Linked DNA regions of Danio rerio. The protein of the gene in region 3 binds, or shares a complex with, the protein of the main gene of each other region. Links are inferred from orthologs where the notes say so. Each region holds a gene or a part of one and is shown on either strand. Other genes may lie near its edges.

What was found. Proteins that work in one complex are often made in the same cells at the same time.
Region 1: gtf2f1 (region 3) and polr2j share a complex: the UniProt entries of both Homo sapiens proteins name them as parts of the TBP-based Pol II pre-initiation complex. The link is inferred for Danio rerio from reciprocal best matches to the Homo sapiens genes GTF2F1 and POLR2J.
Region 2: gtf2f1 (region 3) and ercc2 share a complex: the UniProt entries of both Homo sapiens proteins name them as parts of the TBP-based Pol II pre-initiation complex. The link is inferred for Danio rerio from reciprocal best matches to the Homo sapiens genes GTF2F1 and ERCC2.

The regions. Positions count from the first base shown.
Region 1 is NC_133180.1:67,353,541-67,358,078, reverse strand, and holds the start of polr2j (DNA-directed RNA polymerase II subunit RPB11-a), read right to left. Parts: upstream 2,864-4,538; 5' UTR 2,828-2,863; coding exon 2,775-2,827; intron 941-2,774; coding exon 851-940; intron 591-850; coding exon 416-590; exon of another isoform or gene 1-415. UniProt on the Homo sapiens protein: Core component of RNA polymerase II (Pol II), a DNA-dependent RNA polymerase which synthesizes mRNA precursors and many functional non-coding RNAs using the four ribonucleoside triphosphates as substrates.
Region 2 is NC_133190.1:26,156,298-26,160,553, forward strand, and holds the start of ercc2 (general transcription and DNA repair factor IIH helicase subunit XPD), read right to left. Parts: upstream 2,864-4,256; 5' UTR 2,677-2,863; coding exon 2,672-2,676; intron 2,537-2,671; coding exon 2,437-2,536; intron 812-2,436; coding exon 734-811; intron 542-733; coding exon 479-541; intron 361-478; coding exon 247-360; intron 157-246; coding exon 40-156; intron 1-39. UniProt on the Homo sapiens protein: ATP-dependent 5'-3' DNA helicase. Component of the general transcription and DNA repair factor IIH (TFIIH) core complex, not absolutely essential for minimal transcription in vitro.
Region 3 is NC_133178.1:32,749,360-32,751,897, forward strand, and holds the end of gtf2f1 (general transcription factor IIF subunit 1), read right to left. Parts: intron 1,259-2,538; coding exon 1,054-1,258; 3' UTR 546-1,053; downstream 1-545. Other genes in the region: alkbh7 (alpha-ketoglutarate-dependent dioxygenase alkB homolog 7, mitochondrial), read left to right, coding at 124-244. UniProt on the Homo sapiens protein: TFIIF is a general transcription initiation factor that binds to RNA polymerase II and helps to recruit it to the initiation complex in collaboration with TFIIB. It promotes transcription elongation.

The DNA.
Region 1 (4,538 bases), on a different chromosome or scaffold from region 3:
ATTGGTCTGTCGTTTTTATGTTGTTAAATTGAAGAAAAAAAAAAAAAAAAAACACTGGGTGTGTTTATATCACCCCAATATGACGGTGTATACACTTTACTTACACACGTCTTTCCAAACAGCTTGAAAAGTAGATTTGTTACCATAGGTGCCCTTTAAAACAACATTAGCACCATTTAACTGATCATGAACAATGTTGCATTTTGAAAGCCATTGGACGCTGATATGATTTCCCTATTTAGAATTTGCAAATAATACTTTTCTGAAATTATAATATTAAGTAGAACGTCTGAATGTGTGAATACAAAACCAACTTTACCTCAATTGTCTTTTGCAGTGCTGCTATAGAGTGCATTTTTTTCAGGAGCGCTTGTTCTGGAATCATTTTTTACTCAATGCAAACACATGAACATACCCTAAATCGCTCCTCCAGCAGGGACAGCTCACTGATCAGATCCGTGATGGCATTAGTGAAGGCTTCCTGAGGACTGTAGTCTGGTGTCGTCTGAACGCGGATCACAACCTTATGCTCCAGAGGATGAGGAACCTTATATCCAGCAAACAGCACCTGGGGGTCCTTCAGCAACTGCCTAATGAGCAATTCCAATGTTACAAATGTGACATTTGCAGTAAGATCTCAAAACACATTCACAGAGAAAGTATGTGTTAACATTATACTGAAACATCTGTTTATATTTTCCAAAACAACTAACCACAGAGTTAAAACCTAATCTTTTTCATGACAAGGTTGACATTTGCATGGAATTGCTCTAATGTAAATATAGGATGATTACAAAACCCACATAAATATCTGAAAATGTTTTAGTGTATCAAAAGTTTGGTCTCTTACGATCGGATGATGTTTCCCAGTGTGTGATCCTCTTTATTTAGAGTAAACAGACATGCATTCGGCACCTTGGTGTCTTTGGTTATTGTGATCCTGTAAAAAGAAGTTGAACAGAAATTTTAGGCAATCCCTTACTTTTAAAAATAGTAATGTTTTGGTACAGAGTATATACAGGAACCAGAGAGTGAATTTCAATACCTTTAAGACTCTCTCCATACAAGACCTTAAGACCTTATTATCACTTAAGATTTCAATCGGAAACAATAAAGAGATTTTAACTTACAGTATATTTATTAAATATTAATGTAAAAAACTTACATATTGATATACATAATTATATTGAATTAAAATCTATTAAATATAGCTAATTCAGCAGGTTGGTGCCTATAGAACTGCAGAAATAATGGTTTTTCCTTGATAACTGCAGTAAACAAAACTGCATGATGTCAAATCTAGCAGGATTTCATTGATTTCATAAACTACACAGCATCCTGACATTTAGATTTAATTCAGGCAAACTTTAGCATACAACCATACCTACATTGCACAATCAAAATTATATAAAATTTAACACCTTGCAAAATAGCATTTAGGATTTTAAAATACTTTTTAAGGGCCTTACATTTCTCTACATTGATTAATCAACTTTTAATAGTTCTTAAGACCCCGCAGACCCTGTGGTATCATGGTACAATGTTGGCAGTAATATGTCACTTTGTTAAGTAGATCAGAGATGAAAAATGTTTTTCTAGGTAAATATACAAAATATAATAAGCTTTATCATCATATTTATCATCTTTTTATCCTACTATAATTTTAACCCTTATTAAGAGAAGATGCTCACTTAAATGTCATTCAGTGCAAAAATATTTTTTTATGCCAAAAAGTATTGTCAAGCATTGAGGTAAAGTTGGTTTTATATTCAGACATTTGGTAATTTTTGAACAGTGAAACCTTGTAACACTGTGCATATATTGTTTATCACACTGCTTTGAATATTCAGTCTAAAATAGCCTGCAAATATGACTTCTCAAAAACATAAGTACTATTTACCTGACTGAACAATGTTGTACTTTGATAGTCATTGGCTGCTAATGATTTCTCTATTCAGAATTTGCAAATAAAACTTTTCTGAAATTATATTAAGGAGAAAGTCCAAATGTGCGAATACAAAACCAATTTTACTTAAATTTGTCAAGCATATCTGTCAGAAAGAGGCATTTACAAGGCAAAACAATTTAGTTTAAGCACTTACTACTGCATATTTTAATCAATGTAGATTACAATAAAGGTTTACTTTTTAAAAAATATATTCATATTTATATGGAAGGTTATTTTACTAATATTTTTGACAATCTTATTTTTATAGTTAAAAGTTATTTAAAACATTAAAGCACACCTTATTTGCATAAATTTTATATGTTAACGTTACGTATTACCTCTGTTATTTAATTTGATGCTGAGACCAATTACTGTACATGTACTATGGTATTTACATGGTATTCAAAAAATGTCATGGTATCATGACCTAAAGTACGTCTAAAAACGAATACTTTTATTTAGATTCACAAGGTCACTTAACCAACTTAAACTTAATTGAGCTAAATGTTGGTATTACATGTCTTATTCAAACAGCTTAGCATCTGAAATTGTATTCGTTTATACAAAAATAATGAACAATAAACTTAAATAGTGAATGAATCAATCGTCGATATGATTTAAGCTGTATTGTATAAAGCACTCTGTAAACAGAAGTAGGTTGTATTTTGTTTTCAGATGGACTGACTAACGTAACCTGTCGTTAGCCAACAAGCTAAAGCCTTTTGAATCTCCCTCCTGTCTTCCAACTGAATATTTACTCTTATTATAGGCTAGTATAATATGTTAGTATAATTGAATAGCAAAGACAGCTTTATAGTGCACTTACTTCTTTTCTCCCTCAAACAGCAAAAAAGACTCGAATGCTGGTGGCGCGTTCATCCTGCTTCAAAACCAGCAGCGAACGATGCTACTAATGGACGCACGTTGTACTGCGCATGCGCATGACATGGGAAGACATGGGAAAAAGGGTAATATTGAGTGAATAACGACCGGGGGCAGTATTGTGTCGTAGTCTGGTCGTAGTATTTTCAACACAACGACAGAGTTAAGAGGTACCTTTATTATGAGTCTTTTAATACACTTTGGGTCAAAATGGTTGGATTATATATCTAATTTTGACCATCGCTTGTAAAAGTTGAGTATGGTGATTAGCATGGGAGTAATTATTGACCATTCCACCGAATGGATGCATTTTGCTTATTGTAACTCTTTACAATTAAACTTCTTTTAATTACTTTTCAAGGCGGAATCTAATAACACACATACTTAACTTTTCAAAATATGTATTGGTCCACATAAAATGACTTAATTTGAGTTTTTACAAGGTATTATGTGGCAGATGAATGCATTTTTCAGTCATATTACCCAAACTAACGAGTCTTTTAAAAAGCATGAATAAAAGTCTATCAGGTAATTACTTTGTTTTCCTCTTAAGAAAGTGATTTTCTTTTTAAAATATGGTTTGTTACACTTTCAAACATTTGATTTTTGTATTTAAAAAATCACGATTTACATAAAAAAATGTATTTTTATAGGAATGCAAAGGCACTTTCCCTTTTTTCAAGAAAACTGTGGCCTGAAATTCATGTTTTTTATAACATAATTTACTTAACATTTAAGTATATGATGTACAGAACTTAACTGAGTAAATTGTAGGGAAAAAAAGTTTTCACAAGAAAACCAAATCAGTAAGTGAAAAGAGAGAGAGAGAGTGTGTGTGTGTGTGTGTGTGTGTGTGTGTGTGTCATGTAGTGGAACTGTCATTTCTGAGAAAACTATTCCTTTAAATATCTTACAACTTCAACATTTCCATCCATAACGTGTGGAAATCAGATGAATAATATAATAAAAACTGTTCATTCTATTAAGTATCAGAAGATGCTTTTCATTATTGTTACTCATTCCTGTAACTCTTATAAGTAACAGGACTGAAAGTAACAGGACTGAATTTCTAGCATAATATTTGCATGTAAATGAAATTGAGCCACACGCTGTACATGCTAATAGCTCAAAGAAACTTATCAAACTCCCTCAACTTAACAAATATCAGAAATTTTGCACTGAACAAATTACCTCTATGAAGTAATTTAGGTAACAAGATAGTATTTTTAAAATGACATTTCCAGTTTTCATTGCAATATCCGCAAATATGTAAAAAAATAAATAAAAATAAAACAAGATATATTATCTTTGCTCTTTCAATGGCCTTTCAAAGATCCAAATGATGCAACTTACTGTTTAACAACTATTTAATGGATATTATTTAATGGATATATAATTTCCTTTTATCTAAGTATAGAATTTTTTAAATAAATGTATTTGAAGCAAATATTCTAATTATTATATTTTACAGTGAAGACGATGCTGTGGCGCAGTAGGCAGTGCTATCGCCTCACAGCAAGAAAGTAGCTGGTTCGAGCCTCAGGTGGGTCAGTTGGCGTTTCTGCATGTGTTGCATGTTCTCCGTGTGTTTCCTCCTGGTGCTCCGGTTTCCCCCACAGCCCAAAGACATGCGGTACAGTTGAATTGGGTAAGCTAATTTGTCCGTAGTGTATGAGTGTGTATGTATGTTTCCCTGAGATGGGTTGCA
Region 2 (4,256 bases), on a different chromosome or scaffold from region 3:
CTGTGCCATGATTGTATATGCTTAGGAAATGTGTCCCACCTCATAAAACTGGCAGACAGGCTGATTTGGGTTACTCTGATGCTGCGCTCGAATATACGATGCTGTCAGACTGTGACATTTTCCATCTACTTCTTTTCCAAAACGCAGAGAGCTCACCTGTAGTCACACATTCAGTACTTTTTAATAAGATCACAGCACAGATTTTACTGAAATCACAGACAAATCTGCCCATTCAGCGGCCTCTACCTCAGGATGAATGCACAGGTTTTTCCTCGAGGAAAGTGCAAGGGCGAGGAAGTCGTTTTTTACTCCCGTTTGCTTTGAGTAATAATCCATCAGTTTCCTTAGCTCCTCCACAACCTGCAGGTAAATGAAAGATGCATAAAATAAAAATTAACATACGACATGTGTATTTAGAAAGCAAAAAAAAATGTATAAAAGGTAATAAACATCTATATCAAGTCAGTCAACAAAATACCTTCTCTATCTCAGGCACCGTGCGAGAGCAGTACACGAGCTTGGTGACTTCTAAAGGGTAAGTCTGTAAGAGATTAAACATTATATATATATATATATATATATATATATATATATATATATATATATATATATATATATATATATATATATATATATATATAATTATATATATAAATCAGGGATATTTTTAAAGCCATCAGACTGTCATTTAATAAAGTATTCAAATATTTAATCGTCGATCAAAATCCGTCACCTTCTGGTAAGCAACGATGAGCGAAAGAAGAGAAATAGTTTTTCCTGTTCCTGAGGGCATCTCCAGAACTCCATGACCCTTTACACACATAATAAAAACAAAATATGAAACAACTATACATAAGACAAACAATTTTTTTTTGTTTTTTATTGCTTTTTACTTTCACTCAGTCATGGCTCTGTTTAACATAAACATCCCATCCAACATCTCAGATAATGCGAGATTACAAAAAATGCATTCATAATCAGACTAAAAATGATGTGGTGAACTTTATTATTCCCACCAGGGGCAATTAAATTAGGGCAGTAGCATCATGATAACCTATAAATCCACACATTTGGTCTTTCTCCCTAATAATATACATTTCAGAAAAATATTCTTTGCAAATTCATATTTATAGGGAAACCATAATAGCATCCAATGACTTTTAAAGTACAACACTGTTCACTGTACAAAAAAGATTGTTTTGAAGTCATACTTACATAGGATTTTAGACCAAATATTCAAAGTACCATGGTAAAAAATAAAGGGAGGATGTCACGGAACGATTATGCGAATATAAAACCAACTTTACCTCAATAAAAATATTAGAGTAAAGCTGGTTTTATATTCACACATTCAGTCTTTCTCTCTAAAAATATTTTCAGAAAATTTTTCGGTCCCACTTTATATTAAGTGGCCTTTACTAACATGAACTTACACTGAAATTGAATCATTCGTTACACTTTACTTAATGAGTAAATATATGATTTTACATTGTACTTATGCTTGATTAAATATCTGCATGTAATTACATCTGTAATTAAATTCTGTAAGTACATTTATAATTACACTTTTTACCTGAACCAACTCTTAAACCAGCAAACCTTAAGACCACATTTCACTATACAAAAAAAGATTGCTAATGTTGTTTTGAAGTCATACTTACCTAGGATTGCAGACCAAATATTCAAAGTACCATGGTAAACAAAAAGGGAGCATGTCACTGAACAAATGTGTGAGTATAAAACCAACTTTATCTCAATTAAAACAGTAAAGTTGGTTTTATACCCACACATTCAGTCTTTTTCCCTAATATCATATTTTTAGAAAAATATTTTAGCAAACTCTAAATAGGGAAATCTTATTACCATGACTATCAAAGTACAACATTGTTCACTGCCTAAAAACATATAGCTAATGTTGTTTTGAAGTCATACTTTAATAGGATTTCACTCTGAATATTCAAATTACCATGGTAAACAATAAAGGGAGCATGTCACTGAACGAATGTGCTAATATAAAACCAACTTTACCTCAATTGTAAAAATAACGCTGTAAGAAGGAACAAAAAATACACTTTAAATTAGTTGTGTATCAACTATAGATGCATCTTTTGGCCTATGTCAAAACATCCAGCCACAATGTTAATATAGATCACTTCAATGTGGTGATATCTTTGGCCCATGAACATTTTCTGCTTGTTTCAAACTATTTCATAACTGTAACATGAGACAATTAAATCATAATTTAATGTTAAAACCGCTATCATGACATTATTTTACAATATATGGCTCTTTTTAAAATCTCAGAAAGTATGGACATTACAAATGGAAAACATGAAATACATTGAGACCATTGTTTTGGTTTACATCCCTGAAAATGGTCTATGTTGTTACATGATACAACATTAGTTTAATGTATGAGTGTCTGTGTATAAATACCTTTGCATCCAGCGTCCTCTTCAGCTCAAGCATATACGAGTATTGTTCGGGATAGATGTAGTCATACGGAAAGTAGACTAATAACCCGTCGATATTCAGCCTAATAGGATCAAATAGACATTAACGTTAGAGGAAAAACAAAACTTGTGTTAAATGAACAGCGGTTTGGGCCATTACCAGTCTGCAGATTTGCAGCAATGCTAACGTTAACAGTTAAAATTTACCGTTTACTTACTTCATGTTTGCTGGTATTGTTTCTCTGCAGCACTTAAGTGTTTCTCGTATTCAGTTTTGTATGTTTCCACACATTAATATAACTGTCATGAACGCATTACACAAAAAGACTTCTATCGAGGTACACAAGCGATCTCGGTAGCGTAAAACGCTGTCGCAGTGAAAGTGCGTAATCTATTTTGCTTAATTGATTGGTTGTTCGCTTCAAAGCCCGCCTTATCCTGTCAGCTCATTGGATGACACGCACGTCATGTCAATCCCTTGACGGAAGTACATTTGTCACCATTGGGGTTAATCAAAAAATATATATATAGAAAAGAAGTCCGCACTAAACTTTCGCTAAAATTGTGTAGGTTGTAATTTTCTTCACTACAAATATGACTGATTTTTTAAAACAAACAACAGTATTTTTTTCATGAAAAGTAAAATTTGATCAATTAAAAATATAGCCTATCACAGATTACACTAAATTATACTGTATTTTAAATAAACAAAGAAAAAAGAATGAAAAAAGCTAAGAAAAACGAAAAGCAGGTACAATTAGAGTGCATTGTAAACAAACAAGAAAAAAATAAAAACAAACAGAAAAGAGAAAAGCAAGTAGAGTACACTTAACTTACATTCATTCATTTTCCTTCAGCTTAGTCCCTTTATTCATCAGAGGTTGCTAAAGCGGAATGAATTAAAGATCTGAACTTCCCATCACTACTGTGTGTCTAACCTTAGAGGCAGCCATGCACACGATTTTACTTAAGGCTATCTTGTGGGCTGTTGTATTTGAATTTGAAGATGAGTAGGTGGTAGTGGTAGATGATAGTGGTCATGTGTCCTGTGAAAACATGTTTCAAAAAATTATTGTTGAGTTTTTATTTTACAATATTTATTGTATTTTGTACAATATTTATTGATTTTGAATCTTGTACATAGCAAATATCCCAATGTGCAAAAATAAATAAATAAATAAACAAAACTAAGCAACTATAAAATATGGAAACTAATAAAAACTAGTAAATCTACCTCTAAAAACTAATTAAAACTGATTTTGAAAACAAAAAGTCAAAACAAAATAAAAACTAAAACCAATAAAAAATCCAAAACTATAATAACCTTGCTGTGGAGGAAACCCACGCGAACAAGAGAAGAACATGCAAATTCCACACAGAAATGCCAACTGACCCAGCTGTGCTTCGAACCAGCGACCTTCTTGCTGTGAGGCGACAATGCTAACCACTGAGCCACTACTACTAAGCCCCCCTTCTAAAATGACATTTTTTAATACATATGAGGGGAAAAAAGAGAAAGAACCAAAGAAATGAGAACATTTTTCATTATTAATACAGGGGCATATTTTATATAATATATTTTATTTACATAAACATTTTTAAATCATATATTACAATGCAATAAAATATACAGTATTTCACCCTAACAAAGATTCATCTTCATGAAGTGATTTCCTTCGTACTCATAGGCCGGGTAAAGACCACAGTTTAGACATATTAAAATATTTGTATAAATCCATTTTGGGTCATTCTTTGACAATATTCACCTCAACAGAATAAAACTATACTTTCTAAACCTTTATG
Region 3 (2,538 bases):
TTACATATTTATTATCCCCACCCCCCAAAATTTCTCAAGTTATAAGAGAACTAAATAAAATTTCTGTTATCATAGAATATGAAGTAATTTTACCTCTAAAACACTACTACTTTAAATCAACAGGGATGATGCACGATTTAAATTCACCCATGAAATCTTAAAAGATGAAGAGTCCTTTTTCTCTGGACAGAAGGTTCCACGTCATCGCCGCATCTCTGTGATATGCCGAAACCTGCCCATGTAAAACAACTGAGGCTGGACTGATCATAGCACCTGTCTTGAAAACCAAATAGACCTCTGTTGATTCAATTTTCAGTCTGATGTATTTTTCCTTGAATAACCACAAAAAAGAGACTATTTGGGGGGAACTAAAGCCTCTGGAGAATTTATGAAGGGAATAGATCAGATTCATGTAATTTATCATATAAATGGAGTATGAAAAAAGATGAGACCAGTCAACTGCTTCTATGTACAATGTCAATTTTTGTATCCATTATTAACTTTCCTCTCAAATAATAAATCATTATTGCATAGAGAGCATCAAATTTCAAATAAAAACAAATAGGTATTTATTTCAGAACAGATTTAACATACTACGAAGGGCAAGCGCCAGCAAAATGTGGTACCTTTTACAGTTTTTTTTTTTAAAATCAGCACAATGTTAAGCCAGTTAAAAAAAAAATCTATGAGAACAAATGAGTGTGTAATAAAAGCCACATCTTCACATTTTCTGAGTCCTTATTTAATTTCTTTCTTGGAAAAACATTAACCAGCTTCTCATTAAGATGCATAAATGTGAAATTTACAAACACACATTTCCCATATCTACAATATACAAAAACTCACTGTGCTATCTTTCTTTGCAACGTTTCTTTGTCATTTTACTCTTGACCTCCGGTATTCTCAGCTTTAACTCAATGAGCAGCAGTTTAATGACTACTGTAAATAAACACTGGACTGTTAAAAGCAAAATGACAGCAAAACAAAGAAGGTGTTCACCAAAATGAGCTGCATTCCTGAAGGCGAGGCTGCTGGTGATGGATGCTCAGAGTTTCACTCAGTGAGGTAGAAGTGCATCTTGTCATTGATGTTCTTCCTCTCTGGATTGAGCCTCTTTAAGATCTGCGCGAGCACATTGACCGTCTGCTCGCTGCTGAGGCCTGTGCGTTTAGTCTGGAACTTCTTCAGCAGGTCTTTAGTGGTCATGGGCTTTCTGATGAGATACCTGCGCACCGCATCCTCTGTCAGCAGCACATCACTAAAGGGGAGAGAGAAAAGGATTTTATTTACAATATTGAAATAATCAAGAGTTAAAATGGTCAGTAACTCTGGCAGTGCTTTTGAAAATTTGAAAGGAAAAAGTTGGTGTAATGTGTTGCTACATTAAGTAGGTCTAATACACAGTGACATACTGTTAAAGACTTGATATAATTGAAGCTAAGTATTTCATTCTTTGCTTTTTCCATTCAGCAATATACTCAGCAAAACATTTCCAACATTGCTGGGAGTAGCAATTGGATGTGTAAATATAGTCATAGCAATGTAACTCTGACCCTCCAATCAGCTCACATTTATTTAGTCCCTTACAAAAGTTATTGGTTAAACGGAAGCAGCTTTACAGTGCTGACTGTGAAATAAATGTGTCAGTAACTATGTTTCCATCCACTTTTTTTTTTTATTTATACGCATATCCAACATGCACATAAAATAAAAAACGTAAAAAACGCCAAAAATAAAAAACGCCAAGATAAGAAGTTAAAGAGTTAAATAAAAATAACTTTTTATTCGATAAGAAAAAATGCGTATAAAGACTTTCACTAAACAAATTTTAGTATGCGCATTAAAAAAAGTCATTGATTTTGATTATGTGATGATAAAAGATGTGTGTGAGTCGACAAACCAGCAGGCTTAGCACACTGTAAAACATGAAATGTTATTTTGGTCAGTCTGAAACACCCTAACCAATTCAGTATTAGTGTTATTATATTACCTCCAGAACTGCTAAGAGTGTCTGTGCTGTGCGTTAACTGCGTGTCAGCATCATCTTCTGAGGCACAAGTCATTTATTTAATTAAGTAAAAGATTCACACAGCTTCTCATACCTCAGGAAATTAAGTTCCTTTTACTTTTGATATTTGACGCCAGTTAATTAGGAAGTGACAATTTTGATTTGTTTGACTTGTTGGATGGAAACTTTGCTTTATGCACAAAACTAGAATATCGCATAAAAGGTGTGCGAATAAAGTTAATTCACATTTTTGGAAGGAAACATAGCTAGTGTTGCTGGTTTACTTTAGTTTTTACTGAAGCTGCTCTGAAATGTGCTAGCCGAAGAGATGTTTTCTAGAAAGTTCATTTGGCAAGCTGTTTCAAACACTTGAAACAACCTCATTCTGATTTTGTTGAATATATCATGCCACTTCACAGTCTTTAATTCTGCACTCCATGGCTTAATGCAAGTATAACCAAGTAAAATTCTCAGAGATGGAAGGATAGAATAAACATTTGAAAGCTAAAGGCCTGTGCAAACCGTACAAT